Linked DNA regions of Saccharomyces cerevisiae S288C. The protein of the gene in region 2 interacts with the protein of the main gene of each other region in a pairwise test. Each region holds a gene or a part of one and is shown on either strand. Other genes may lie near its edges.

Region 1 (15,841 bases), on a different chromosome or scaffold from region 2:
ACCTCCAAGGGGGGCGAGGTGAATGAAAAGGTCCTTCTGAATAAAAAGCCTAAGCGATTAGCCACACCACCCACTGTACGGCGATTAGACTGAGCTGCTGGCGCTGCTACGCCGTGACAAGTCATTTCATCATTTATTACGTTTTATCGTGCCGTCATCACCATCGATTTGAATATTTTATCTAGACCGGTAGGGCCCAAGTATCTTGCAGATCCATTGATACGGCCACGCCCGTTAAAACGCTAAGATATATATATATGTAGCTAAGATATATATATATGTATATATTCGGTATTTAGTAGATATTTCCTTAAGGCGATATTCGCCCGAGAGCTATTTCACAGTTTTTTTTTGCAGTCGTCGCAATACCACTTGCCCTTAGGTAGAGTTTCGAGTCCAATACATGGCAAATGGAACCATTCTAGCTCACAGTCTGCGCCATCACACCCCACCATTTCCCCGTATGCCACTTGGTTACAGTAGCAGTAGAGCGGTTCGCCGTAGTCGTTGGTTTTTGGTCTTGATATCCTGCTGTTGTTGCTGTTTCCGACGCTGCTAACTCCCCTGGACGCTGTAGATGTACCTATCCTGCCATTATTGACGGCAGTTGCCGTGCTGATAGTGCTTGGTGAAACGGCTGTGGTGGCAACTCTCCTCTTGCGTTTTTTGGTCTCTGGATCGGCGTTGTTGGTATTGGCAGCGTTGGCTCTTTTTCTTGAGTTTGTGTTGTTACCAGTGTGGTCTTGGCTCTCGTGCCTGCTGCCTCCGTAGTTTGCGTCGTTCTTTGAGTCGTCTTGTTGGTGTGTGCTGGCGGAGTAATGTTCGCCCTGCCTCCTGTTGGCAGCCATGGCTTCTCTTCTTGATTCGCTCTTCAGTGCCTGCGACGATTTGCTGTTTGATTTGCTCTCTATTTTTTCCATTAGTTCATGATGGAGGTGCATTGCTGGATGGTTGTCCACACCCAGTCTTAAACCTCTAGGAATTTCTGTGTTCTTGATTGCGACTTCATACGCCAATTCTAACCGGGACGTCAATCTGTCTAGATTATCCAGCATAATGGATGAGACATGCATTTTCTCCTCCAGCGATGGCATCAGTTCTTCATAAATCTTGTTGATATTATTGAGCAGTCTTACTTGTGTTTGGTGATCTTTATTGAAGTCTTTCTTCAAGAACTTATCTATCCTCTCGTTCAAATTCGGCATAGAATGCACACATTTTGCATCTATTTCGTGTAGTAATGTTAAATATCTGGAGGTGGCCAGTGGGAATTCCTCCAGCACGTCAGTTATGTCGTTTAATCCAGGGAATAGGTTCGCTGGTGAACTCATTTGTACGTATTTCAGACTATGAACGTGGTTGCTGTTTGTGATACTGCAAGACTACAAACTTTTCTCCTTCCGGGTTCGTCCTGTTGTAAACGCCTAACTCTTTTCCTTAGGCTCCTTTTTCGTTTTTTCCCTAGCTCTTTCTTTCTTCTTCATGTGCATGCACTCTTTCCTACATATTTTTTTTTCAAGGGCATTTTTAACTTTCTTCGGAAATCGTCTAAGAATTGTAAACTATAATTGCAAATACGCGATTAGCTCTATCTAGAATACCGAAAAAAAGGTTTGCCACTCACAATTGGACGTGCCTCAATTATTTCAAGTATACGTCATTTGGGCTTTTGACTTGTAAAATATACTCAAATGAAATTCTGATTATACAAAGTTGAAACACGTAACACGCCATGTCAAGGTACGCGTAGAGGTAAGCAGATAATGCATGGACAATGTGCTGGGCGAAGAGGCGGATCTAATTACACATACTTGGGATCATCTAAGATTTCAGATGGTTATGTTAATGCTCACTTGTTCCACGCCTTTTTCCTTTCCTTCAGATAAGTAATCCGCATATCAATGTGAAAGAACTAACGGTTGTTGATGGACGTATCGTTGTCTAGCGATAAATAATGCTTTTTCTTCAACAAATAAGTGGTTGTTTGGCCGAGCGGTCTAAGGCGCCTGATTCAAGAAATATCTTGACCGCAGTTAACTGTGGGAATACTCAGGTATCGTAAGATGCAAGAGTTCGAATCTCTTAGCAACCATTATTTTTTTTCCTTTTTATCTGATTGCAGCGAGAACTTGGGAAATCAACCCAATATGTATTCCAAAATGTCAAAACACCAATTAAAGCATCTCTATATTGACAGATACAAAATATATTTAAGTATACATTCATAATTATTTTACTCGAATTAAAAAAGCCCACTTTTTGGAAACCTCCTTTTGTATTCTCATAACTATGTTTCTTTTTTTATTATTTTTTCTTAATATTATTTTCTTTAAGTATGACAAATGATGAGAATGATAGTTATCTCACTATTTAGTTGGTCTGGCTTGGAATTTCAAAAACAATTTGTTTGCCAGTCAACTTGTTGTAGACAGCTTGGAAAGATTCCAACTTGTAGTCGATTTGTTGAACATCCTTGGAGTCTAACAAAACCTTTTGGATCTTGTTACCACCAACCAAATATCTAACTCTTTTACCGACAATTTCAGTTGGGAAAACCATGTCTTCCAAAACCTTGTCGTGAACAGCAGTCAAAGTTCTGGATCTTGGTCTCTTTTGGACTTGTCTAGATGTTCTAGATGGTTTTGGCAAGATTCTTCTTTCAGCCAAGAAAATAACATGACGGTCAGGGAATTTCTTTTCCAATTCACGGGTCAATTTGGTTTGGACCTTATGGTATGCAGACAAAGCTGGAACTGGGACAAAAAGGACTAGTGCTTTCTTACCACCGGTGACATCAATCTAAACAATAAGAATCAAGCAGCGTTGAAATAAAGTTAGTAACTGAATTGGTTCATTCATAACAAAAAAGGGTTTGTGATTCTTCTCCTTGGGGTAAGGTCTTTTTCGCGTGCTTCTATTTTATTCATCGATATTGGTACTGACCAAGGAGGCCTTTATAGTTCAAAGGCTCATCGCAACGTTCATGGTATTGACAGCTCTCGGAATTACTATTTTTCTCGAACACATGAAAATTTCATACAGATACTGCTCAAAATCACTCTTTTTTGAAAAAATTACTGCAAAGAACCCCTTTAGAAGAAATCACAATGTTGCTGCTTCCAAATTATATAACTTTTAACATACTTCTCTGATAGATTTGATTTGCAATGGTCTCAAGTCAGCCTTTAGTTCTGGAGAGGAGCTTTCTAGATCGATGAAGGTCTTGGCGACTTGTAATTCCAACTCACTTGGAGCTTGGGATAAGATCTTGGATTGGACAGAGGACATTGGTCAGTTATGTGTCTAGTCTTTAGTGTGTTGGTTTCTCTTCTGTTTGTATATACAAAGTCAAATAACACATATTTTAACCATAATCAATAGCATTTGGTATTTCCCCCTCCGCGTATTATGAACGCCTAGTGAGCCCATTCTTCCCTAAAGCCAGGCTGGAAACCCAAACTGTGTGGAACGTGACTGAATTGCATTTGGTGAGTTACCAAGCAAAGGCTCGCAGGCTTGAACCACATTTTACCAGGGCGCTCGCTTTTTCCGAAATATTGAAATTAAGCAAAACAATAATGTACGGATTTAAAGAGGTACGGATGGAGACCGTAGAAAATTGACTTTTTTTTTTTTTTTGTTATTTTCTGTGCCTTTCGTAACTACTACTATGCAGAATGACAGGTAGTTGTTGTTTCGAATTGCTACTTTCACGCATTCAACTTGATCAACATTTCTCTCTGATGAAAGGTTGTGGAAAGTTTGGTCGTGTCTATAAGTAGGTGTTTTTTATTAGTTCTATATAAAAATGGAGAATGTTAATTTTAACCCACCCTAAAACAGTGATTAGGAGTGGTAATAATTTTTTGTTTAATGGATTAAAACTAAAGGTTCATCTGTACTTTCAGAAAGTAAGACACTAAAAATGGCAAGCTAACAACCATTAGCGGGTATTGCAGCATTAAGAAAAATGAAACACACTCCATTTGGATTGGCGCAGTTGTTTCTGGCGGCGTAAAACTGGCGGTGAAATATATAAGGGTAGTCATCGTTGGCAAGTTCCAGCTGATTGCTATAACAAATAGTAGCATTCTATCATCTTGCCAATTAACCCATCCAGCTTTCACTAACCGATCACACCATAGGACACCAAAAATTGGCATGACACATTGTCTCAAAATGACGAGTGTCACAGCGGCTTTCCAAAATCCAGGATAAAGGTTGCCAATCTTTAATCTTCCTAAAGTTGCTCCTAATAATATCAACCCAAATGGAACACATGCGGCACCGACATAACCTGTAAAATCCATGAAAAAGCTTAATGGTGGTGCATTGTCAGGAGCTTGGCTTATGTGAGGAGTATTAGCGGTAGTCACGAACAAAGCCTTGACCCATGGGATAAATGCAACAGTTAGGGCGATGATCACGGCCATAGAGCACGGTCTCAAACAATTCTTTAGGAAAAACACAAGTAATGGAGTTAATGAAAATTTTCTCATCCACTGTGGTAATGATTCGCCGGATGTTTCAATATCCTTTTTACTTACAGTGGCATCTGATGTTAAGATCCTGGTTAGGTTAGCAGTTTTTATAGTCTGTAAAGTGGAATTTGAGCTAATTGAATGCACATCATTCATATCAGCGCCGCGTAAACTGGAATTCCTCCTTTGATGACCATACTGGTCAACGTTGGAGTACTCTCTGATAAGATGGTGTATATTTTGAGAAGGTAATGCACGCATATCAATGGAGCGGATAGGTTCCAATGCCGCCATAGACATATTTTTTGGGCATTTTTCATCTAAACAGTTCTCTTCTAGGAGTGTGGTAGTATTGTAAGCTCTCGGCTGGCTCGCGGTTCTACGTGCTCTCATAGTATCTATGCTACTCTCATAACTCTCTGACGTATTATAAGAATGTATTGTTGAAGCAGATGATTGGCTATCTAATGGATTTGAACCACGAGTTGCCTGTGACTCTTCGCTTTGAGTGCACGCAATAGTATTTCTTGCCTTCACCTGAACTGGTTTTGTAATCTTTGAATTCGAAGAAGTGTCTGGTAGTGACAGGGGAGCTATACTATTTGTTGATCTCCTTGAAATTGGTGGTACGTCTGCGTTTTCACCCTTTGTACCTATAGCTTCAGTGAGACTATCGCGAGCGGTGTACTTATTGTTGAAAAGCTGTTGTTCGTTTGAGAAGAAACGCTCGCTAGTATCTGTATTAGTTGTGTTTGCACTTACTGCGGGCTGTGTCTTTGTCGTTTCTGAAACCCTAACGGCGCTTTCATCGTCGTTGTACTCGAAATCGCTTTCAATCAGTCGAAACCCCCCCAAATTGAAAATGCAAATTAGAAACATTGTCAGAAATATAATGACGTTAGCCACACCTTTGTTACCTTCTTCTTCCGAAAATACAAGCCCTTGGTCCATAGATTGTAAATATGCAATTGGTAAATCACTTATATTTGGAAACATACCACCGGCAAGAATACCACCGTACCATTGTTTAGGAACAGGCAGGAATAGCCTAACAACGTATGCAAAAAAGAACCCAGAACCAAATATTAGGAGGGCAGACAGACAGATAATTCCCACAGATTTGATGTCTTTATCTTCAATATTAGCGACAATCTTGTTGAATGACAGAGAGGGTAGTAAAACTGTTAGCACGATATCAGAAATAATTCTTGTTGCTTCAACCGTAAGAATTCCCATTTTAGCCATCAGAAAGCCGACTCCTATAATCAAATAAATCTTGATTATCGGCTTAACTGACACCCATATCGCTTGACCCAGAGTAATGTGCACCATCTGATGAAAATTTGAGGTTTCAATCCCTTTCTCTGTTTGATTCTATAACTTCTCCAAAAAAATTGCGCTGACGCTAATTAGTCACTGTTTATATCTTTTTTAGCGATGATTTGTAACAATATGCCATAAAAGCGTTCTCTAACTGCGGAAGTGATGAGAATTGAATAGTTTTATTCAGAAGGCAATATATCCTAATATGGCACAAAAAGGCAACTTGTATGCACAAAATGAGCATAAGAGTTCAGGCAGAACGTTGTGCTCTTGATCCAAAGGTTAAAAGTCATCGAGTAGGAAGATATTGTAACCTTCGCGCAAACCGCAGCCGCAGCGGGTCACGTGGTCGCGCAAATGATGATGAGGGCGCGGTCTAACTTTCCAAACGAGGTTACCAACAATTCTCGGACAGATAAAGCATTAGAATAGGGTGGCAACGCCTTTACGGTTAGCTTGTTCATTGTGATTGGTTTGTGTATCTTTTCTTGGCTTTTTATGCCCACGAGACATAAAGTATACGAAGCTGTTATACTATTCGTGATCCAGGGCAAAAATTTAGCATCATTAAGGCATATATATCGCAAATAGTGGGTTGCACAAGGCTTTCAATAAACAGTGTCATATGTTTCTCTAGCTCTGTCGGTTTGTTGGCTATAAAGAGTTTGTCTAGTAATCGCCGTCTTTTCTTGGGACCATTAACACAGACAAGGACATTGAAACTTGGCTATAAGTTCCGTCAAAGGGGGAAAAAATTGCTTTGGAGAAGGAATAAAAAGATGAATAGTCAAGGTTACGATGAAAGCTCTTCCTCTACTGCTGCTACTAGCGGTCCTACTTCTGGAGACCCACGAATGGGTAAGAAACAACGGTTTATGAATCTCATAAGAACCACAAAGGATGTTTATATTCCTAACCTGACGTCATCCATTTCTCAAAAGACAATGGATGGCATCAGGAGCACTACGAATTCCTTCGAAGGTTATAATGACTTGCCTATGGAATTGCCACATAATACCACGATAACATATTTTCCAACGTATACCACAACTAATTTGGTTGACCCTGACGGTTTGAGTGCGCCTCGGAAAGATTTTGAAACTACTGTCAGATGTGCTGTTTCTTATCCAGGAAATCCTACAAGCAGGAGAAATAGGTGGTTGCTTTCTCTTTGTAAACAATATCTTAGAACTGGAACGGCGGAGGCCGATGTTGCACCTGTTGTTCCCCCTCATCTCGAAGAGGATTCTGGAGATTTAAACGACTCCCAATCAAGTATAGAAAGTTCTTTGTCTTCAAAGAGCGAAAATAGGTATTCACATATGGGCATCCAAGAGGAAGATGTTCTGAATGAGAGAATTCAAGGATTCCTGTCCAAAAAAGTTCCTAATACTCCAGTGGTGGTTGACCTATTGCCCAAAGATAAGCTCAGAGGGGATACGGCTTCCTTTTTTGGTACCACGGACTCTTATGGTAATTTACTAATCAAGGCAGAAACAGATTTTTTACCGTCCAAGATTAATATTACATTAGATACCCCTATAGAAGGCCATGCAGATCCCATATCTGAAACATTTCCGGCCAATTATGTCTCGCCCTACGGTATTGGTTTAATCAGTGATATTGACGACACCATCAAGCATACTGGCGTTACGGGTGACAGGAGATCGATGTTTCGTAATGTTTTCATCCATGATGTTCAATCGTGGGTAATAGATGGTGTTCCTCTTTGGTACAAAACTTTACATGATGTCGCAGACGTTGATTTCTTTTATGTTTCTAATTCACCCATCCAAACTTTTACTCTTTTGAAACAATATATTTGCGCCAATTTTCCTCCGGGTCCAATTTTTTTGAAACAATACTCTGGTAATTTCTTTTCCACTATCATGACTTCAAGTGCGAATAGAAAAATTCAGCCGATTGCAAATATCTTAAAGGATTTTCCCAAAAAAAAATTTATTTTGGTCGGTGATTCTGGTGAACATGACTTAGAAGCGTATACCACTACGGCTTTACAATTTCCGAACCAGATTCTGGCTATTTATATAAGATGTTGCTCTAATTCCATGAGTGATGTCCCATCGCATGATGAAGAAGTTATGAATGAAGTGAACAATATCATCGAATTACAACAACGGCCCATGCAAATGACCAAGTCTACCGTACGTACCAGGAGAAGACCACCACCACCTCCCATTCCTTCCACTCAAAAGCCATCGTTGACAGAAGAGCAAACCGAAAGTATAAGAATGTCACGCCGTAATAAAGATGAGAACAATGCTAAAAGAGTTGCCCCACCACCGTTGCCGAACAGACAGTTACCTAACTTAGACGCTAATACTTACTATGTACCATCCTCACAAAATGACTATGGCATGTATGGTGCTTTCATGGATAAAAAAGCAGATGAATGGAAGAGAAGAGTAATGGACTCAATTCAAAAATTGAGCAATCAAGACACCACATTGATGTTCTTTTCGGATCCGGCATTAAGTTTGGAAGACAGTATTCGCAGAATTAGGGAGAAGTATTCAAACTAAATACACTGTTATTTATATACATCGGGAGGGAGTTTAAAAATTGTATACACTAAAGTGACCTTATGAATTGGAGCCATTTTCAACGTTTTAGAGTGATGTTGCATCCTTTTCATCAGATCGGGAAATTAAAAAAACGGTTATAGAAGGGCTAAATGTAAATATGTAAATTTTATGAAGTCAAGAGTAAAGAAAATCTTCGGTTGCCGATCAAATACACTCTTACAAAATACCCTAAACTCAGTTTATCTTTCCATTCCAACTGATTATCGCGTACGCCTTGGTGACCAACCATACCCTAAAATGTCAATTTCCGGGGCGGAAGGGGTCCTTAAACTGCAAAGCCTCTTCCCATGTAAATAAAATAAATCCGTAGAATTTATTAAATATTGTCATATTATAAGTCGGGAAAGGCCTTCTGAATGCACGTATATTGACCAAATAGAGTTAGATTCAAATTATTTATTACATTTTTTCAGCATCGAAGTTAAGTAGAATGGATAAACATACAGCAGCTATTCCAACATTAACTATCAAAGTAGTCTTACTCGGAGAATCTGCTGTCGGGAAGTCCTCAATAGTCCTCAGGTTTGTATCTGACGATTTTAAAGAGAGCAAAGAACCTACTATTGGTGCCGCATTTTTAACAAAGAGAATTACAAGGGATGGCAAGGTCATTAAATTTGAAATATGGGATACGGCAGGCCAGGAGAGATTTGCTCCTTTAGCGCCTATGTACTACAGAAATGCTCAAGCTGCTTTGGTAGTTTTTGATGTTACTAATGAAGGGTCTTTTTATAAGGCTCAAAACTGGGTCGAAGAACTACACGAGAAGGTAGGACATGATATCGTTATTGCCTTGGTGGGGAACAAAATGGATTTGCTGAATAATGATGACGAGAATGAAAATAGGGCTATGAAAGCACCAGCTGTACAAAATCTCTGTGAAAGAGAGAACCTCTTATATTTCGAAGCAAGCGCTAAGACTGGTGAGAATATTTACCAGATATTTCAAACATTAGGCGAAAAAGTACCATGTCCTGAACAAAATACACGACAAAGCTCTACTCATGATCGCACAATTACCGATAATCAACGAATCGATCTCGAATCAACGACTGTAGAAAGTACTAGGGAGACTGGGGGTTGTAACTGCTAAACTGCAAGCAAAACAACAGCAAACGCGGCATATTCAGCGTCTTAGCGAAGCTTGCCATTGAAAAGAACAGTTCGTAACAACAGCTGGAAGAATAGTACTGGAAATTTTCAATTACTTTTGCAAAACAAGCACTTTTTTGTTTCACTTCCATTAGCCGCAAGAAATACACTTTTTTTAGGGGCGGGAATTTTCATCGCCAGATCGAGAATCACAAGGCCTTTACGTACTATAGTTTGTAATTTATACAAAATCAGCTACTGTTATTTTGGTGTACCAGCGGCAAAAATTGGTGAGGATCTGAAAATTAATTAGAGGTGAACACATATCAGTAATTTTGACTATGGACGAGAATGAATTTGATAATCAAAGGGAGAATAAAGCTGTAGCTCGAGTGATCATATCATTTCTTAAGTATGAAGAGTATGCCCTAAAGGAAATCTACAATTTGAGAGTGAAAAAATGGGCATCGATCTCAGATCGTCAAAAAGACATGGTACCAAACTATACAAAATATTTAGCTAATCTGAAAGCCGCAATTATAGAAAATGGCAAGTTCTTTAGAAGTGTCGCCGAATATGCCCTGCAATCAATAAGTTTTGAGCCAGGAGAAATCGTACAACCAAACGATTTAGATATGAGTAAAACATGCTCTTTACTTACGCAAGTTTATAGGGAGTGGTCCGCAGAGGCCATTTCTGAACGTAATTGCTTAAATTCGAGGCTTGTACCGTTTTTGAAGACCCTATCACCCCCAAAAGCCGACATTTTGATACCGGGTTGCGGCACAGGACGCCTTCTCGTGGATCTTAGCAGAATGGGCTATAATTGTGAAGGTAACGAATTTTCATATCACATGCTGCTTGTATCTCAATACATGTTGAATGCAGGATTACTCCAAAACCAAATTATTATCTATCCCTTCATACACTGTTTCTCCCACTGGAAAAAAATTGAAGATCAGTTGTCTCCCATTAAGGTGCCGGACATAGAAGCGTGGTCTTCAAATAAAGGTATGGGGTCCATGTCGATATGTGCTGGCTCGTTTGTTGATTGTTATGGTCGTAATCAAGGCACAAAAATCTCGTCACATTATACATTTTCGCGAAGGATGCAACTAAGTAGAGCAAAAGCTGAAAACTCCAAAGACGTTGTAGTAACAAACTTTTTTATAGATACGGGATCCAACATCTTGGATTATTTGGATACTATTGGCCACGTCTTGAAGCCAGGCGGAATCTGGTGCAATTTCGGCCCATTGCTTTATCATTTTGAAAATGACCATGGGGTTGAAACTACCTACGAAGTTAACCCTTACTCTGGGTTTCAAGATAAAATCAATGACTATACACCACTGATGGGTTTAGAGCTTTCTAGCGATGATATCATAAGCATTGCCACAAATCATCTGGACTTTGAATTAATACGGAGAGAGTCAGGAATACTTTGTGGGTATGGCCGCTACGCGGGTCCAGAAAGTTGCGCCATGCCTGGATACATGTGCCACTATTGGATCCTGAAGTCGAACCCCACCAATGAATCATAAGCTTACACAATAATCTAATTGCACTATATAGAAGTTGCTGACACAGCCGTTTTAGAGAACTCAGAATGTTACCCGCGCGGAAAATTCTTTTTGCTCCCTCTCGCTATGTTCTGTTTACCATATTGACAGTACTGGTTATCAGCCTAGATCCAGTAATACATAAAGCCCTCAATTTGAACTATATATCAAAGCTAGAAGAAGAGTGATTTGTCATAATTGATTCACTTTATAAGCTCCTTTATCGTTTCAGTTTCCAGGTGCATTTATCGCTTAAGGCCATTACTTTCAACAATAAGCAATCTTTATAAGTGAAAAATTGGGGAAATTGCCAAAGATGCCCCCAAACTCCAAGAGTAAGAGAAGAAAGAACAAATCCAAGCAACACAACAAGAAAAATGGCAACTCTGATCCTGAACAAAGTATAAATCCTACACAGCTAGTACCTCGAATGGAGCCAGAGTTGTATCATACAGAATCGGATTACCCAACTTCAAGAGTAATAAAAAGAGCGCCCAATGGCGATGTCATCGTGGAACCAATAAATACAGACGATGATAAGAAAGAACGTACGGCGAACTTGACTCATAATAAGGATAGTATGGATTCTGCTTCTTCCTTAGCTTTTACTCTAGATTCTCACTGGGAATCATTATCGCCAGAAGAAAAGAAAACTATTCTACGAATCGAAAAGGAGGAAGTATTTAATGTCATAAGGAATTACCAGGACGATCATAGTTGTAGTTGCTCTGTTTGTGGACGCCGCCATTTAGCAATGGATCAAGAAATGGAGCGTATATACAATACACTTTATGCCATGGATAAGGATAAAGACCCTGAAACCAATCCTATCAAATTCCACTTAGGCATAATAAAGGAGCTACAGATTTCCAAAAATCAACAGCAAAATGATTTATCTTCTACAAAGGGCGAAGTTGTAAAAAATTTCCTTTCGTCAAGTACAGTTGGCTCTTTGAAAGAGGAAGTGCTGCATTTCAAACAAAAGCAACTTTCAAAACAAGAACAAGCGCATAATGAAACGGCGGATAATACCTCATTACTTGAAGAAAATTTGAACAATATACACATCAACAAAACTTCTAGTGAAATTTCCGCAAATTTCAATTCTGTGAGCGATGAAGAGTTGCAACAAAAATATTCCAACTTCACAAAAACGTTTATTTCATCACATCCCAAAATAGCAGAGGAGTATGTACAAAAAATGATGATGTATCCGAATATTAGAGCACTGACTGATGACTTAATGAATAGTAACGGGCAAGGATTTCTTAATGCAATCGAAGACTTTGTGCGAGATGGCCAGATACAAGCATCGAAAAAAGACGACAGCATCACTGAAGATGAAGCATCTAGTACAGATTTGACTGATCCAAAGGAGTTTACCACAATGCTGCATAGTGGAAAACCACTTACAGAAGATGAGTATGCCGACCTCCAGCGCAACATTGCTGAAAGGATGACTAATGCGTACGATACCGCAAGTAAGAAATTCAAAGATGTGTCACAATTAGAGAAGGAGCTATTTACACGATTCATGTCGGGGAGAGACAAAAAATCTTTCAGAGAGTTGATAATTCAATCCTTTAAAAATAAATTTGATGGGGAATTAGGTCCATCCGTTCTAGCAGCCACTTTAAGCTCGTGCTTTTCATCTCAATCGAAGGATACTTCGTTAGATACTGATTCTATATATGAAGATGAAGATGAGGAAGACTATGATGACTATTCAGAATATGCTGAAGATAGCGAAGAGGTTTCTGAGTATGAAGGAATAGAGGCAGTCGAAAAACCAGAGCATGATGAAAAAAGCAACGGGATACGTGAAACATTACATTTAAGTTATGACCACGATCATAAACGACAGAACCACCCTCACCATCACTACCATAGTACCAGTACCCACAGCGAAGATGAACTGAGTGAAGAAGAGTATATTTCCGATATAGAATTACCGCATGATCCTCATAAGCACTTTCACCGCGATGATGATATATTAGATGGGGATGAAGATGAGCCAGAGGAAGAGGATGAAAATGAAGGCGATGACGAAGAAGATACTTATGACAGCGGTCTTGATGAAACTGACCGTTTAGAAGAAGGTCGGAAATTGATTCAGATAGCCATTACAAAGTTGCTTCAAAGTCGAATAATGGCTTCTTATCATGAGAAACAGGCAGATAATAACAGACTAAAACTTCTACAAGAACTAGAAGAAGAAAAAAGAAAGAAAAGAGAGAAGGAAGAAAAAAAGCAGAAAAAAAGAGAAAAAGAGAAAGAAAAGAAGAGGCTGCAACAGTTAGCTAAAGAGGAAGAAAAACGAAAAAGGGAAGAAGAGAAAGAAAGGCTAAAGAAGGAATTAGAAGAGCGTGAAATGAGAAGACGAGAGGCTCAAAGGAAAAAGGTTGAAGAAGCCAAACGGAAGAAAGACGAGGAGAGAAAGCGTAGATTGGAAGAGCAGCAGCGGAGAGAAGAAATGCAAGAAAAACAACGGAAACAGAAAGAGGAACTAAAACGCAAGAGGGAAGAAGAAAAGAAACGTATTAGAGAACAGAAAAGGCTAGAACAAGAAAAGCTACAGAAAGAAAAAGAAGAAGAAGAGAGACAAAGATTAATTGCAGAGGATGCGCTAAGAAAACAGAAATTAAACGAAGAACAAACATCTGCGAACATACTTTCCGCCAAACCTTTTACTGAGAATGGAGTTGGCAACCCTGTTTCATCTCAATCACATCCCAACATGACTAACTACCAAGAGGATAATAGTTGCAGTATCAACGATGAAATACTTAAAATGGTTAATAGCGTGGCTGCATCCAAACCAGTTTCACCCACAGGCTTTAACGTTCATGATCTACTTCTTCCTTCAACTAACAACCAGATGCCTGCTATGGAACAATCACACTTGCCACAGCCAGGTAATCAAAACAACCATTTTGGAACTACAACTATTCCGAATGCGTTAGACTTGGCTACAAAATCTTCTTTACAGACTGAAAACAACTATTTAATGAACTCACAAACTCTGGAAAATACAAGTCTATTGATGCATAATAATTCATCGCCAACTAAGCTATTGCCAAATGACTTTGGTTTATCATCTTGGGGTGGTCTGACAAATACAATGTCCATAAATCCTACATGTAAACCACCGGTTATTCAAACTTCAGAAATGGAATCACAAGCCCATAAATCTAGTCCTCAAGCTACAATGCCATCTTTTGGACTACCTAATGGTGGTACTCACCGTAAATCGTTTACCGACGAGTTGAACACTTTAACTAGCATGCTTTCTTCTTCCGGGTTCGCAGATACATCACTTTCATCATCAGGATTCCCCCCATCACAGCGTTCTGTGTGGAATGATCAAAAAAGCTCATTTTCGGGACCGTCGACTGCAGGAAACTTTAACAACAGCAGTATACAAAGCGGTATGCTGCTCGCACCTACATTAGGAAGCGTTGAATCGTTTCCAAATCGAACTTCTATCTGGGACAGCAGCACCACTCCGATGATGAATAAATCCGAGCTTTCCGGTCGCAATATAACTAGTACTGCGCAAGATAGCCCTGCGTTCATGGCATCAAATATCTGGTCTAGTAACAGTCAATACAATTCACCATATTTGACTAGCAACGTCCTTCAATCCCCTCAAATTTCGAGTGGAGTGGATGAAAGCCACATTCTGGATAGCATCTACAATACTTATTTAGCTATTTCCCCACAAGATAGTTTAAACCCCTACATTGCTATCGGGACACTATTCCAAAATTTAGTAGGACTTAACTTGGATTACTCGACGTTTATCAACAAATTGATAAGCATGCAAGGAGCCTACAATTGCGAATTCTTTACTGATAACAATGGATCCATTACCCACGTTCGATTTGCGAGACAAACTCCCGCTGGCCACTCAAAGGGGTTGCTGAATCAACTCTTTAGTGGATTGAACGATCCAACTGCTACACCATTTACGTCAAGGCCTCATACCTCCACAAGGGCTAGTTTTCCAATTGCCTCTTCAACTACGCAAACGTCTTAAATTTGCTCCGGTACGCAGGGCCAAAAATATTTACATACATACATAATTCGACGAAATTTCAGAAGAGACACTAAACAATCGTACATCTCTCTACTCGATGTGAGCCACGCGTCGGTTTTTCTTACCGTCGTGGCTTTAGAGGTGAGGCTGCGACACCCCATACATCTTACCCGGCATTTAATTTCCATTTTTCGCAGGAATGTGAATATGATAATAGACTTCGGTACACTCTTTTTTAGGTATAACATATATCAATTGTTCAACAACAATTATTCAAAGCGCAACTCTCCAAAGGTAGTTATTCTGATAATTTGAACCAAAAGTCCCCAGATTAAGTCTTAATTAAACTGCCCTTGCATACCGCTGTAAACGATTTGTGTGCAGACATCAATTGCTGAAACGTTCTGCTTTGGTTGTGCTTTTGATCCCGTACTATGTCTGAAAAGGCCGTTAGAAGGAAACTTGTTATTATTGGTGATGGTGCTTGTGGCAAGACCTCTTTACTATATGTATTTACATTAGGAAAATTCCCTGAACAATATCATCCGACAGTGTTCGAGAATTATGTCACTGATTGCAGAGTTGACGGAATAAAAGTGTCCTTAACGCTCTGGGATACAGCGGGACAAGAGGAATATGAACGTTTACGTCCATTCTCATATTCAAAAGCAGATATAATATTAATTGGGTTTGCTGTAGACAATTTTGAATCACTAATTAACGCAAGGACGAAATGGG
Region 2 (16,651 bases):
CATAAAAAATATAAACTTGAACTCGTCTAAATCAATGTGAGAATTCAACAATTTAAATTCTGGTGATTCCTTATACTTGATAAATTCTTCTTCCCATTCCTTCTGGTTCATAGGGGGCAAAGTACCTGTGACAGGTTTCCATTCGGTAATACTCAGCCCCGATTCTGTTAGTCTAGTCAACCCACCAAGAACAACAATACCAAATACCAAACCGGATGTACCTATTAACCAGTAAGCAACATTCTTCGAGGTCTTCAAACGTGATTCTATAGGGTTTGATTCTGAAGCAACATGTGGTTTAAAAACAGGGGAGGAGAGAGAAAATGGACGGATGCTCACAGTTTTCTTAAAATTATATAGTTGAGTCTTTCTGATTTGTTGTCTGATGGTAGAAATATTCCTTGAGGCCCCAATACTTTGCCAGGCCAAACGACTCGAGGTTCTCGTTAATAGCTTAGCTGCCTGCCTGCCCACTTCTATGTTTCTGAAAAGCATGACGTACAGTAGTTACAACTTCAGTGCTGTGCACTATTATATAATACAGTTCCAAGTTACAATAGGAAACTAAATAAACGATAAAGGAAAGATCAATAATTCAAAAGGCAAGAACTTATAAACTGCAAAACAATAGCTTTTTAGTAAGCAGGGTTTCTTTTTTGCTCCTTGCAATATACGAAATATCCGAAAGCCGTAAGCCGCGATAAATGCGGATCTTAGATTACCATATTCTTTTAGAAACCATTTTATAGCGAGCGACATTTTCAAGCGATCGTGGATTCTTGGAATCTTTCTGTCTTCTAATATCATTTAGGCTAGGAGGAGTACATTCAGCAGTTAAAGTAGTTTTTCTTTTCCGCATTGGCGATACACTTTCGGTCTCTATACGATTCTCTTTATTGTAATCAGAATGTAATGCAATTCTTGTAGACACGTCGACTTTACCCATACCGCCCGAGAGTAAACCTGGGACGTATTCTTCTTCAGTTACAACGGTATTGAAAGCTTGGTCTCTGAACCGTTGCTCTATCCGTTTGCTCCATTTGATTAAAATAAGATCTAGTGTAAATTTTGCCAACAATGCTAGTAAAAACACGGATGCCCCCATGAAGAGGATCCTAAATAGCGAAGGAAGGTAAGAAGGTTCCGATGATTTAAAAAGTGTTGGCCTCACCATTACAATAAAAAGGACAACGAATGCAGGTAAAGGCAATCCCAATCTATCTTCTAATTTGTGCGTTCTCGTAGAATAATCCTTGTATATTATATAATAGAACTTATCATATATCTGTGGGCGGATCCGATTGAATTTTGTGATGTAAGCATGCTTTGCCCAATCCACTAACACTTCACTCCCTACCACGCTTACCATCGGCCCACAAAGTATGTTAATGACGATTGATAATGTGGAACGTGGACTCCAGAAATTGATGCTTGTGTTCGATAATGAAGATGACCACGACTGGAGGTTCCTAAGGCCAGTTATTGACAATAATAAGGTCAACTTAAATCTTTCCACTACGTCTGCAATGGTTATTTGGAAAAATCCCTCCTTATCAAATTTCTTTAAAACCGATGATTTGATTTCTGCAAATTGCATGGATAGTAATAAAGTTAGCAAGGCATTGGAATACGAATTCACGGCTATGTTTAATGAAATGGCCTGGTAAACCAATACATAGCCGTGTATAGTCACATATGTCAAGCTCATTGACACTAACAAACATTTATGCAGTAATATCCGTTCCGAGTTTTTCCTAGAAAGCATAACCGTTAATAAGCTCTGGCCCAAACTTGCCAACATTTTGTCCGCCATTTCCAGTACACTGAATAGCATGTACAATTTCATCGTACTTTGCCGTTTTATCCTGTGATATAGTTTTGAGGTGTCTAGTTTGCTCAACAAAATGGATGAAATCACGATGATAAAAATCATACATCTCTCTTTATATTCTCTTGAAGTTATTCTATATCGAAAGGGTATTTTATTCTTATGCCCAGACCGTTGTTGCAGGCGATAATGCTGACGATAACTCTTGAATTGCTTTACATATCCCTTTATCAGTCGTATCGGTAATACAGTAAAGTAATACAAAAAACAGTCCAAGCTTGTTAAAAGTGCAAAGAGCATGAACTTTTCCAGGAACATTGGTATTCTTATCATGTTGAGTAATTGTTCCAATTCATAATCATCCTCATGTTCTTCTTCGCTTTTTGCAGCGCTACTTTCATCTTGCTCTTCAACAATATTGTGTCTATCTATAGTATTCCATAGGAAGGACCACTTTTTGTCTAATCGTGAAATTATATGTATAGCTGACGGCGCACTATTTCTTCTCAGTAAACGTTTTTTAGCTGTGTCCTTCGCTACTGCCGTATCCTTGTGTTGCATGGGAGTGCTGCTTTTTTTTTGGATTACTCGGTAGAATAATATATACACCTTATAGATCGATCAGGTCGATTCAGAGACAGCATCGTGATATTAAAAGTAACTAATTTTCTTATTTCATCTCTTTCCGATATTTTTGTCCGAAATAGGAATACTACAATACAAAATCAGCTGGCATCCAGAAGTGGTCAAAAGCAATGGAAAAGTGAAGAAAGAGACACATTGAGGAGCGAATTGAACAATTCATAAACATTCCCAGTCTAAAATATCTATACATCGGCATCTTAGTTTGAAAAATTAGGACGAAGTTAACAAGAATAAGAAATGGCGACGATTGAAGATATTAAGGAAACGGCGTTAATCCCTTTCCAAAAGCACAGGCAACTTTCCATGCATGAAGCAGAAGTTATAACTTTAGAGATTATAGGCTTATTATGTGATTCAGAATGCAAGGATGAGAAAACATTGAAATATTTGGGCCGATTTCTCACACCGGATATGTATCAAGACCTAGTAGATGAGAGGAATCTAAACAAAAGATGCGGATATCCTCTTTGCGGTAAATCGCCAGAAAGAATACGTGATCCATTTTCAATGAATGATACTACTAAGAAATTTTTATTAGAAAACAATCCGTATGCATATTTGTCGCACTATTGCAGTAAGTTCCATTTTAGATGTTCCCAATTTTATCAAGTGCAACTATCTGATGAAGCTTTATTTGCAAGAACAGGGGTTCACCTATTTGAAGATCCTGAACAGGACAAACACGATATAGATTTCAAAGTGACTTTGTTTGAAGAGTTGCTAAGAGAAAAGGCATCCGAAGAAGACATTAAATCATTGATATCCGGTCTCAAAAAGTTAGGATTAAATCCTGACAGTGGGACTACAGAAAAAGATGATACTGAGCTGGAAGATGATTTATCGAAGTGGTTGGCACAAATCAAAATTGTTGAGAATGATAATCCCAGCATTTTGGGTGATTTCACAAGGGAAGATTGACCGGCTATATCAATGCACCTAAATTCAGAACAGATTATGGACGTTTCATTGGCTGAAAATAGTTAATTCATCATCATAACTTAAAATACTTTACAGCGCCAGGACAAAAATACTGTTATTCGTGTATGTCAAAATGTGGTTCTCAATTTTCTACAATGTAGCGCTTTTATAACTTTGCTATAATTCACTTTGAGTCACCACGTAGCAATTCTTTACATACCTATTGGTTTCTCTGAAGGGCCATCCATATACGAAAGTGTTGCTTCAGAGTTTTGGTTCGAAAATCAACAAGTATTTAATGTGTTGAAGTATCGCGACGTTCCTTCCTTTTGGGCAATAACGGTAGAACTGGCCGTCCAGCATCGAATGGATACAATAGAAGGAAAATTTGGCAATTCAGAACAGTAGATATTTATCTAAGACGACCCAACAGCTAGGACGCTGCAAGAAGAATCGTTCACCTTCAATTTATTATTTGTTTAGCAAGACGAGAGTATGTGGGATTTTTGTGTGATAATTTAATGAAAGTTAGATAGGTGTCTGACTTCGATCTTTCGTTAAACTAATATTCTTAGTTTATAGAATACACTTGAAGCTCTCTTCGAGAACATAGGAAACCCACAGAAGGAAGTCGACACTTCTAGATAATAATATTGTCTCTTTTTTTTTTGTTTTGTATGTTATCAATAATTATCCTACTATTTAGTAAATCTTTTACGTTTCGGCATCCATGGAATTTGATAACCAATTCTCATCATGTATGTCATCTTCCTAGTTTGTGTAGAACGATATACTTATAAGTATATACTAGTCAATTCATGATTTTATTTGACCCTGTTAGTCCATCAATATACGCCATCTTTTTACTAATATATATAATGGCGTTAAAATACCGGTAAATCGTTCAATTGACTATAAGCAGTTTCTTCATTTGTAGAGAATGTGGATTTTGATGTAATTGTTGGGATTCCATTGTGATTAAGGTTATAATATTAGGTATGTAGATATACTAGAAGTTCTCCTCGAGGATTTAGGAATCCATAAAAGGGAATCTGCAATTCTACACAATTCTATAAATATTATTATCATCGTTTTATATGTTAATATTCATTGATCCTATTACATTATCAATCCTTGCGTTTCAGCTTCCACTAATTTAGATGACTATTTCTCATCATTTGCGTCATCTTCTAACACCGTATATGATAATATACTAGTAACGTAAATACTAGTTAGTAGATGTGTTGGAATAGAAATCAACTATCATCTACTAACTAGTATTTACATTACTAGTATATTATCATATACGGTGTTAGAAGATGACGCAAATGATGAGAAATAGTCATCTAAATTAGTGGAAGCTGAAACGCAAGGATTGATAATGTAATAGGATCAATGAATATAAACATATAAAACGGAATGAGGAATAATCGTAATATTAGTATGTAGAAATATAGATTCCATTTTGAGGATTCCTATATCCTCGAGGAGAACTTCTAGTATATTCTGTATACCTAATATTATAGCCTTTATCAACAATGGAATCCCAACAATTATCTCAACATTCACCCATTTCTCATGGTAGCGCCTGTGCTTCGGTTACTTCTAAGGAAGTCCACACAAATCAAGATCCGTTAGACGTTTCAGCTTCCAAAACAGAAGAATGTGAGAAGGCTTCCACTAAGGCTAACTCTCAACAGACAACAACACCTGCTTCATCAGCTGTTCCAGAGAACCCCCATCATGCCTCTCCTCAACCTGCTTCAGTACCACCTCCACAGAATGGGCCGTACCCACAGCAGTGCATGATGACCCAAAACCAAGCCAATCCATCTGGTTGGTCATTTTACGGACACCCATCTATGATTCCGTATACACCTTATCAAATGTCGCCTATGTACTTTCCACCTGGGCCACAATCACAGTTTCCGCAGTATCCATCATCAGTTGGAACGCCTCTGAGCACTCCATCACCTGAGTCAGGTAATACATTTACTGATTCATCCTCAGCGGACTCTGATATGACATCCACTAAAAAATATGTCAGACCACCACCAATGTTAACCTCACCTAATGACTTTCCAAATTGGGTTAAAACATACATCAAATTTTTACAAAACTCGAATCTCGGTGGTATTATTCCGACAGTAAACGGAAAACCCGTACGTCAGATCACTGATGATGAACTCACCTTCTTGTATAACACTTTTCAAATATTTGCTCCCTCTCAATTCCTACCTACCTGGGTCAAAGACATCCTATCCGTTGATTATACGGATATCATGAAAATTCTTTCCAAAAGTATTGAAAAAATGCAATCTGATACCCAAGAGGCAAACGACATTGTGACCCTGGCAAATTTGCAATATAATGGCAGTACACCTGCAGATGCATTTGAAACAAAAGTCACAAACATTATCGACAGACTGAACAATAATGGCATTCATATCAATAACAAGGTCGCATGCCAATTAATTATGAGAGGTCTATCTGGCGAATATAAATTTTTACGCTACACACGTCATCGACATCTAAATATGACAGTCGCTGAACTGTTCTTAGATATCCATGCTATTTATGAAGAACAACAGGGATCGAGAAACAGCAAACCTAATTACAGGAGAAATCTGAGTGATGAGAAGAATGATTCTCGCAGCTATACGAATACAACCAAACCCAAAGTTATAGCTCGGAATCCTCAAAAAACAAATAATTCGAAATCGAAAACAGCCAGGGCTCACAATGTATCCACATCTAATAACTCTCCCAGCACGGACAACGATTCCATCAGTAAATCAACTACTGAACCGATTCAATTGAACAATAAGCACGACCTTCACCTTAGGCCAGGAACTTACTGAATCTACGGTAAATCACACTAATCATTCTGATGATGAACTCCCTGGACACCTCCTTCTCGATTCAGGAGCATCACGAACCCTTATAAGATCTGCTCATCACATACACTCAGCATCATCTAATCCTGACATAAACGTAGTTGATGCTCAAAAAAGAAATATACCAATTAACGCTATTGGTGACCTACAATTTCACTTCCAGGACAACACCAAAACATCAATAAAGGTATTGCACACTCCTAACATAGCCTATGACTTACTCAGTTTGAATGAATTGGCTGCAGTAGATATCACAGCATGCTTTACCAAAAACGTCTTAGAACGATCTGACGGCACTGTACTTGCACCTATCGTAAAATATGGAGACTTTTACTGGGTATCTAAAAAGTACTTGCTTCCATCAAATATCTCCGTACCCACCATCAATAATGTCCATACAAGTGAAAGTACACGCAAATATCCTTATCCTTTCATTCATCGAATGCTTGCACATGCCAATGCACAGACAATTCGATACTCACTTAAAAATAACACCATCACGTATTTTAACGAATCAGATGTCGACTGGTCTAGTGCTATTGACTATCAATGTCCTGATTGTTTAATCGGCAAAAGCACCAAACACAGACATATCAAAGGTTCACGACTAAAATACCAAAATTCATACGAACCCTTTCAATACCTACATACTGACATATTTGGTCCAGTTCACAACCTACCAAAAAGTGCACCATCCTATTTCATCTCATTTACTGATGAGACAACAAAATTCCGTTGGGTTTATCCATTACACGACCGTCGCGAGGACTCTATCCTCGATGTTTTTACTACGATACTAGCTTTTATTAAGAACCAGTTTCAGGCCAGTGTCTTGGTTATACAAATGGACCGTGGTTCTGAGTATACTAACAGAACTCTCCATAAATTCCTTGAAAAAAATGGTATAACTCCATGCTATACAACCACAGCGGATTCCCGAGCACATGGAGTCGCTGAACGGCTCAACCGTACCTTATTAGATGACTGCCGTACTCAACTGCAATGTAGTGGTTTACCGAACCATTTATGGTTCTCTGCAATCGAATTTTCTACTATTGTGAGAAATTCACTAGCTTCACCTAAAAGCAAAAAATCTGCAAGACAACATGCTGGCTTGGCAGGACTTGATATCAGTACTTTGTTACCTTTCGGTCAACCTGTTATCGTCAATGATCACAACCCTAACTCCAAAATACATCCTCGTGGCATCCCAGGCTACGCTCTACATCCGTCTCGAAACTCTTATGGATATATCATCTATCTTCCATCCTTAAAGAAGACAGTAGATACAACTAACTATGTTATTCTTCAGGGCAAGGAATCCAGATTAGATCAATTCAATTACGACGCACTCACTTTCGATGAAGACTTAAACCGTTTAACTGCTTCATATCAATCGTTCATTGCGTCAAATGAGATCCAACAATCCGATGATCTTAACATAGAATCTGACCATGACTTCCAATCTGACATCGAACTACATCCTGAGCAACCGAGAAATGTCCTTTCAAAAGCTGTGAGTCCAACCGATTCCACACCTCCGTCAACTCATACTGAAGATTCGAAACGTGTTTCTAAAACCAATATTCGCGCACCCAGAGAAGTTGACCCCAACATATCTGAATCTAATATTCTTCCATCAAAGAAGAGATCTAGCACCCCCCAAATTTCCAATATCGAGAGTACCGGTTCGGGTGGTATGCATAAATTAAATGTTCCTTTACTTGCTCCCATGTCCCAATCTAACACACATGAGTCGTCGCACGCCAGTAAATCTAAAGATTTCAGACACTCAGACTCGTACAGTGAAAATGAGACTAATCATACAAACGTACCAATATCCAGTACGGGTGGTACCAACAACAAAACTGTTCCGCAGATAAGTGACCAAGAGACTGAGAAAAGGATTATACACCGTTCACCTTCAATCGATGCTTCTCCACCGGAAAATAATTCATCGCACAATATTGTTCCTATCAAAACGCCAACTACTGTTTCTGAACAGAATACCGAGGAATCTATCATCGCTGATCTCCCACTCCCTGATCTACCTCCAGAATCTCCTACCGAATTCCCTGACCCATTTAAAGAACTCCCACCGATAAATTCTCATCAAACTAATTCCAGTTTGGGTGGTATTGGTGACTCTAATGCCTATACTACTATCAACAGTAAGAAAAGATCATTAGAAGATAATGAAACTGAAATTAAGGTATCACGAGACACATGGAATACTAAGAATATGCGTAGTTTAGAACCTCCGAGATCGAAGAAACGAATTCACCTGATTGCAGCTGTAAAAGCAGTAAAATCAATCAAACCAATACGGACAACCTTACGATACGATGAGGCAATCACCTATAATAAAGATATTAAAGAAAAAGAAAAATATATCGAGGCATACCACAAAGAAGTCAATCAACTGTTGAAGATGAAAACTTGGGACACTGACGAATATTATGACAGAAAAGAAATAGACCCTAAAAGAGTAATAAACTCAATGTTTATCTTCAACAAGAAACGTGACGGTACTCATAAAGCTAGATTTGTTGCAAGAGGTGATATTCAGCATCCTGACACTTACGACTCAGGCATGCAATCCAATACCGTACATCACTATGCATTAATGACATCCCTGTCACTTGCATTAGACAATAACTACTATATTACACAATTAGACATATCTTCGGCATATTTGTATGCAGACATCAAAGAAGAATTATACATAAGACCTCCACCACATTTAGGAATGAATGATAAGTTGATACGTTTGAAGAAATCACTTTATGGATTGAAACAAAGTGGAGCGAACTGGTACGAAACTATCAAATCATACCTGATAAAACAGTGTGGTATGGAAGAAGTTCGTGGATGGTCATGCGTATTTAAGAATAGTCAAGTAACAATATGTTTATTTGTTGACGACATGATTTTATTCAGCAAAGACTTAAATGCAAATAAGAAAATCATAACAACACTCAAGAAACAATACGATACAAAGATAATAAATCTGGGTGAAAGTGATAACGAAATTCAGTACGACATACTTGGCTTAGAAATCAAATATCAAAGAGGTAAATACATGAAATTAGGTATGGAAAACTCATTAACTGAGAAAATACCCAAATTAAACGTACCTTTGAATCCAAAAGGAAGAAAACTTAGCGCTCCAGGTCAACCAGGTCTTTATATAGACCAGGATGAACTAGAAATAGATGAAGATGAATACAAAGAGAAGGTACATGAAATGCAAAAGTTGATTGGTCTAGCTTCATATGTTGGATATAAATTTAGATTTGACTTACTATACTACATCAACACACTTGCTCAACATATACTATTCCCCTCTAGGCAAGTTTTAGACATGACATATGAGTTGATACAATTCATGTGGGACACTAGAGATAAACAACTGATATGGCACAAAAACAAACCTACCGAGCCAGATAATAAACTAGTCGCAATAAGTGATGCTTCGTATGGCAACCAACCGTATTATAAATCACAAATTGGCAACATATATTTACTTAATGGAAAGGTAATTGGAGGAAAGTCCACCAAGGCTTCATTAACATGTACTTCAACTACGGAAGCAGAAATACACGCGATAAGTGAATCTGTCCCATTATTAAATAATCTAAGTTACCTGATACAAGAACTTAACAAGAAACCAATTATTAAAGGCTTACTTACTGATAGTAGATCAACGATCAGTATAATTAAGTCTACAAATGAAGAGAAATTTAGAAACAGATTTTTTGGCACAAAGGCAATGAGACTTAGAGATGAAGTATCAGGTAATAATTTATACGTATACTACATCGAGACCAAGAAGAACATTGCTGATGTGATGACAAAACCTCTTCCGATAAAAACATTTAAACTATTAACTAACAAATGGATTCATTAGATCTATTACATTATGGGTGGTATGTTGGAATAGAAATCAACTATCATCTACTAACTAGTATTTACATTACTAGTATATTATCATATACGGTGTTAGAAGATGACGCAAATGATGAGAAATAGTCATCTAAATTAGTGGAAGCTGAAACGCAAGGATTGATAATGTAATAGGATCAATGAATATAAACATATAAAACGGAATGAGGAATAATCGTAATATTAGTATGTAGAAATATAGATTCCATTTTGAGGATTCCTATATCCTCGAGGAGAACTTCTAGTATATTCTGTATACCTAATATTATAGCCTTTATCAACAATGGAATCCCAACAATTATCTAATTATTCACCCATTTCTCAAGATGATAGTTGATTTTTATTCCAACATCATTAATAAAAATCTCAGACTTTCATGGGTGGTAGAAAAGCATCTTCCATGGTTTGTTACCTTCTTTCCAGTAAAAGTATTTCATTAAAATTTGGTCTCTTGGCCCAGTTGGTTAAGGCACCGTGCTAATAACGCGGGGATCAGCGGTTCGATCCCGCTAGAGACCATATTTTTTTTGAAAATCTTTTTGTCTTTTTGTTCAACTTAAAGAATGAATGAATGCCAACTCAGCTTTGCGGGCCTCCAATATGTACCACATGTTGGTAATTGTTCATACTTTTTTAAAAATATAGACAAATTTTAAGATAATTGTTGGAATTACATTGTTGTTAAAGGCCGCAATATTACGTGGAACGAATATGCTGCAATTCTCCTCGAGAAAAAATAGGAATCTACAAAAAGCGAATTGATAGCTCTACATAATAATGTTACTCTATCTTCTTCCTTTTATACTTTGTCATTCTTTATTTTATTACATTATCAACCCTTGAATTTCAGCTTCCATTAGATTTGATGACTATTTTCAATGTTTATGACATCTTCTTATATTGTATATGATAATATATTAGTAGTATGACAGCACACTAGTAGCAGCAGTACTAGTCGATGGATGATCGTTTATTCTTCTTTCAACACGTTCTAAGTATTCTCATTTTATCCTTCTTATATTCCGCTGCCGCCTGTCGCTACTCACTCTACAACCAAGGTAAGGACTACCTACAACAAGAACATGATGATAAACATTGACATGCACCTTCCAATCGTCATTTATATTCGAAAAGAACAAGAATAGGACATTAAATCAACTTACTCTTCCAACATCCCTCATTGGGACGGTTAATTAGTTCAAAAAAATGTTAAAAAATATGGTTCAGGACACACTCCATCCCCGAGGGAACGGCCACAATGTGCGAGTAAATCCTGATGGCACCGCCAAATTAAACCGCCGAAGCGATCAACTTGCACAATTATCCGACTGATATGTGCTATCCCGGCCGCCTCCATCACGGGTCACCTTTGCTGACGCTGGATAAAACTCCCCTAACAGCGGTGAAGGTGGAGCCCCTAAGGACCCAGAACTACCTTGCCGCACCAGACAGAGAGACGGATTCCTCACGCCTCCTGCCAACGGGCTGCCCGCAAAGATCGATTTATTATAGCCGGGACACTTCAGAACGGACTCTCCCGCCTCCGGGCAGACAGCTCTGCCCAGGACAAATTTACGACGGAGGAAAGACGGTTGCCACAACAGGGCACGGTGCGGAATAGAGAACTATCCCTTGCCCAAAGGGCGTGCAATCCGTGTCTAGCCGCGAGGAAGGATTTGTTCCTCGGCCAGAATTCTCAACGTATCCCATCCCACCAGAAAGCCATTACAGCCTAGCACAATTGGAATAAACTTTCGATTTTATACTCCATTTTCTTTCCTTTACACAGAAAATTTGTCAGAAGATTTTCAATGAAAAGTTCCTGGCGATGAGGTTGACACTAATACAATATAGTCATCGTAAGTTTGTTAAAAGAATACCGAGGGTTGTTATAACAAGGAATGTGTGAATCATCAAATAAGACTGAAAATGATATAGTCAGATTGTCACAAGCTATGGATGTCCTGGCTAAGTTGATCATTTCAAAGCAAAAAGATGGATCACAATTACAAGTTGAGTACGAGCATAAGTTGAAAGAATTAGAGAAATTCATTAACCTACTACTGGGATTGCATGAAAGCACTGTGGGAAGTATGATGAATACTAGTGTTCTTGACATGGTACTGCGGAATGGAATAGAGATCATGGAAAAAGACGATCAAAAATATGCCCTGATACCGATTAAAGCCAAGGAAGAGGCAGATAAAACTACGAGCACTATTCAGGGAGTAACCAGCAAAAAGAGTAGTAAAAAGAAAAAAAATAAGATAAAATGTTCATTTTGTCACGAGGCTGGCCACACAAGGGCACACTGCGGTGCGAGACTGACAGTTATACCCAAGAAATAATGAAGGGATCATCGAAGCATTAGACCTACATCTACCTTACTAAGATTGTAAGTACATAGCATGTGTACTGATGTGTTCAGTAGCATTCTTCCATATATTATACTACATAAGGTATGTAAATTTATGTATTTATATATGGAAAAAAGAAATTGAAAGAAAAGAAAAGGAAAGATACTTAGTTATGAATCAATCAGAATACGCATATAACAAAAAAAAAAAGTGGAATGAGAAAGGAATAAAGGATAATCTTTTCCCCTATATTTTTGTATTGGTTTTTTTTTGGCAAATATTTTCTTGTTTTCTGTAATTCATGTCATTTATTGGTAACTCATTTGCCAAGAACATTATCGGAAAAAATAAGTTTACCCTCCAATTGCTGCTTTAGTCGTAAAGGTATGAATTTACTGCTTTTCTTGTTCTTGTCTTTGTTTTAGAACTAATGGGTGGCCTGTTACTCTGAAGTAAATATCTTTAACATCGTCAGTCATGGATTCGAAATGAGAGGATGCGTCGTATGATCTGGATAAGTAAATGTTATCCTTAGAGCCGTCTTCTCTTGGTTCAAATAATTCGGCAATTCCCATGAATTTTTCTTCGATTGGTCCCAGAAGTTTGAAAGCAGGCTCTAATTCTATATGTGGTTTATCAGTTTCAATGATTGTAGAAATAATTGCTAAATAGTGACCCTTGGAGCAAACGTTATGCGCATCTGAAACAATCGCAACGTATATATCGCTTTTCCTTCCCAGTTGGCTTTGTGGGATAATAATTTGTAAAGAATCCGCGTTACTGGTGTTCGGAACTGGATGGTTAAGAATACAGATGGCTCTAATAACTCTTTGACCAGTAGATTTACATTTTTCGGGAAAATAAGTTGGATCAGCAATAACCAATGGGGCCTTGAAAGTTCCCAGCTTAGTCTTGACCCCTTCAAATTTTCCTGTGTCTTTTTTATACAATACTTCATCAATTGGAGTGTCTAGCATGTAAGTACCACCGTAAATAGCCGACAAACGAGCAAATCCTTGTGGAAGTTCGCCTAACCCATACATAGGATACAAATAAGGTGATTTACCGTAACGGGCAACACTTTGGCAATATAACAAAATCCTCTCAAACGATGGCCTAGCAGGTTGTTGTAAGTAGTCATCATTGGTCCATAAAGCCATTGCATGACCGATGAATTCTTTGGTAGAATTGCCTAACCCAAATTTATAATACACTTCATCCATGGTATTCTTGTCTAAGTCTAATCCTTGATGAGTGGACAAGTCATCTTCTTTGTAAGAGCTAATCCATTCTAAAAATTTCTTCATTCTACGTTTTTCAAAAATACCCATCAATGGCGATGAAATGGCTTCTATTTCATTAGCTGGCACTTTGTAAATTTTGCCTTGCTTAAAAACGTAGGAGCCAGAAACTTGCTTGAAATCGACATATCTGGTCACATCGGTATGTATTAAAATATTTGTCAGCTCACCATTGGCCATCAGGAATTTAGGAATTAAGTCGACATTCCAATCTCTATCTTTACCAAACTTGGACTCCCGTTCCTCTTTACTGATCGGATTTTGTTTAAATTTTTCATACAATTGAGATAAGGTCACAGAAGCAGCTTCGCCACCATAATGGTCTTGCTTGTCAATATGTAATACCTTTTTTCCATCTACAGAGAGTAAACCAGATAAGATACATTCGGTAATACCGGTACCTAAGACAATCACGTCGTAGTCAGTGTCTATTGTTTCTTGATCCATTGTGTTATGCTATATAAGTGGTTATTCACTAACAGTTATGATGGAAGGGGAGTAAAGAAAAGGAAAAGACTAATTGCAGTCCTGCTTTGAAAAATATCCTTCCTTGAAAAAAGACTATGTTAGAAATTTGATGGGACGACGTCTCAAGCAAGAATGAAGTAGAACCTTTTCTACTAACAAAATCGGGATAAATCAGCCGACGTGTTGAAACTACATCTACAATCCCTCGCTGAAGCTTCCCACGGCCAAGATTTTGGAGCCCACAGGAGAGGGGAAAACACCGCCAATGTGAGATAAACGATTCAAACATAAGGGTAACCTAAAGATAACGGTTTTGAGCGTTTACGGCCTACTTTACTATGCAACAGCAGATGTTGGATAATAGAGAAGTTTGAGTGATAGATTGTAGAAAGTACAAGAATATGGGTGTATTACGGGAGTTAACAGAGGTATGTACTTTATCAAATGTGGTCTGATATTTTTTTCTTGAAAACAGTCTTGGCTATGTAATTTTTTAAGTTTTGCGCCTTTAGCTCATGTTTAGTTTCTGGTGGGGGAAGCGGTAATTATTTTAAAGTAGCCAACATAAGCAAAATATATGGAGAAAAAGAAGAATACCGTCGGAACCGCTAAAAGTATGTTTTTGTTACAGGATTGTAAAGCTTGTATCGCTTGGCAAGAGTTTGATTGGCCATTCTTGTAACTATTAGTTATTAAGCGGATTTGTCTCTTTTCAACTAGTTTCGAAGATGTCTCAAGAGATTGGAAGTAAACATTGCTTAGTATGAAAGGAATGCCCTTTGTAAATTAACGTAAATTATAACGTTTTCGAAAAAAAAAATTGATTTCGCCCAGGATCGAACTGGGGACGTTCTGCGTGTTAAGCAGATGCCATAACCGACTAGACCACGAAACCTAATTTGTTGAAAAAGTTTCATTAAAAAATAGAATATATCTACAATTCTTAAGATTTACACATGAAATTGTGGAGATGAAGCTCTAAAATATCATTGCTCAGTTATATCGTGTAATTAGTGTATTATCACGTACGGTGTAAAGAGGATGACATGAAAATCGAGAAATAGTCATCAAACCTCTTATCCCGAAAATGACAATACGTCAGGAACATATACACCACTTAATGAAGGGTAATTGATTATATCCCAATAAAGTGAATCTTAGTTTATTCGAAGTTAGTTGTCGATTGTCGTTTGAATATCCCCTTTGAGTTTAACGACCACAAATGCAAGGTTGATTAAAATCTTTCAAGCATGACATGGACTTTAAGAAACTTACATAATTCACAGAAAAAGGTCTTGGTCGATATTACAATTTGGTTAGCACTTTCTCCATACGGTGACATGGCGTTATTTACAAGTTTTGAGAATATAATCGGCGAATATTATAGGTACTCTATACTACCGTTACATCAAAACTTACACAAGTTACTATTCACTCTTTTTCTAATATGCCTCGCTAGTTGGAAAGAGGGAAACAGATCTTGCAGATATAAATGGCAGAAATTTGTGTGCAACAAGCTAAATTCTCCTGAAACAAATTTCGTACCCATTCGCACCTCAGTGAATAAGAACTCTAAAATGATTGTTGAAAAGCAGATAAGCATTCATATTTCTTTAAAGTGTATTGTTTACAAAGAATACTAAGGGATTGAGTAGAATATTTTTCACGCACTAGAAGAAGGACCTGCCGAAAAGGAGACCTTCTCGAGAAACAAGCATTTTTGTCCTTAAACTTACAAAGAGAACAATTTTGTTACAAATCCTGCTCCAAAATAGTCTCAACGCGTTTATTATGACTGGATACCCTGACGTGGCCGCCTTCGATTTGGACTACACCATTTGGCCCTGCTATTGTGATACCCATTTGCACGGTCCCTTTAAGCCAGTTAAAAGTAGTAATGGCGAAGTTCTCACAATTATATGTAGAGATGGTTACGAGCTCACAATCTACAAAGATATCCCACGTATACTAGGTGATCTTAAAGATAATGGAGTTAAGTTAATGACCGCGTCACGAACGTGGGCACCTGAGATTGCCCAGGAAATACTGAAAATATTCAAGGTCAAGTATGCTGGTGTCGTAACCCCGTTGGCCAACCTGTTCGATGAATTTCAGTGGGGAGAAAGAAGTAAAATTGGCCATTTAAGGGACGGTTTGAAAGATCTTTATAATACCAGCGATTTAAAATCGAAAAAGATTTGTTTATTTGATGATGAAAGTAGAAACAAAGAAGTGGAGAAATACGGAGTGAAGTTTGTTTATGTAAGAGACCCAGAGAATGGACCATCTTGG

What was found.
Region 1: the proteins of GDI1 (region 2) and YPT53 interact in a two-hybrid assay, tested with the Saccharomyces cerevisiae proteins (2 studies listed by BioGRID).

What each region holds. Positions count from the first base shown.
Region 1 is NC_001146.8:441,028-456,868, forward strand, and holds YPT53 (Rab family GTPase YPT53), read left to right. Parts: upstream 1-8,840; coding exon 8,841-9,503; downstream 9,504-15,841. Other genes in the region: PHO23 (Pho23p), read right to left, coding at 339-1,331; 40S ribosomal protein eS7 RPS7B, read right to left, coding at 2,371-2,799, 3,145-3,288; YNL095C (uncharacterized protein), read right to left, coding at 3,885-5,813; phosphatidate phosphatase APP1, read left to right, coding at 6,584-8,347; YNL092W (S-adenosylmethionine-dependent methyltransferase), read left to right, coding at 9,844-11,046; NST1 (Nst1p), read left to right, coding at 11,381-15,103; Rho family GTPase RHO2, read left to right, coding at 15,538-15,841. UniProt on the Saccharomyces cerevisiae protein: Required for transport in the endocytic pathway and for correct sorting of the vacuolar hydrolases suggesting a possible intersection of the endocytic with the vacuolar sorting pathway.
Region 2 is NC_001137.3:437,303-453,953, reverse strand, and holds GDI1 (Gdi1p), read right to left. Parts: upstream 14,339-16,651; coding exon 12,983-14,338; downstream 1-12,982. Other genes in the region: COX15 (Cox15p), read right to left, coding at 1-495; EMP65 (Emp65p), read right to left, coding at 719-2,389; RNA polymerase II subunit B1 CTD phosphatase RTR1, read left to right, coding at 2,711-3,391; YER138W-A (uncharacterized protein), read right to left, coding at 4,376-4,480; YER137C-A (gag protein), read left to right, coding at 4,930-6,252; YER137C (uncharacterized protein), read left to right, coding at 12,135-12,581; YER135C (uncharacterized protein), read left to right, coding at 15,610-16,002; YER134C (Mg-dependent acid phosphatase), read left to right, coding at 16,151-16,651. UniProt on the Saccharomyces cerevisiae protein: Regulates the GDP/GTP exchange reaction of SEC4 by inhibiting the dissociation of GDP from it, and the subsequent binding of GTP to SEC4. Plays an essential role in the yeast secretory pathway.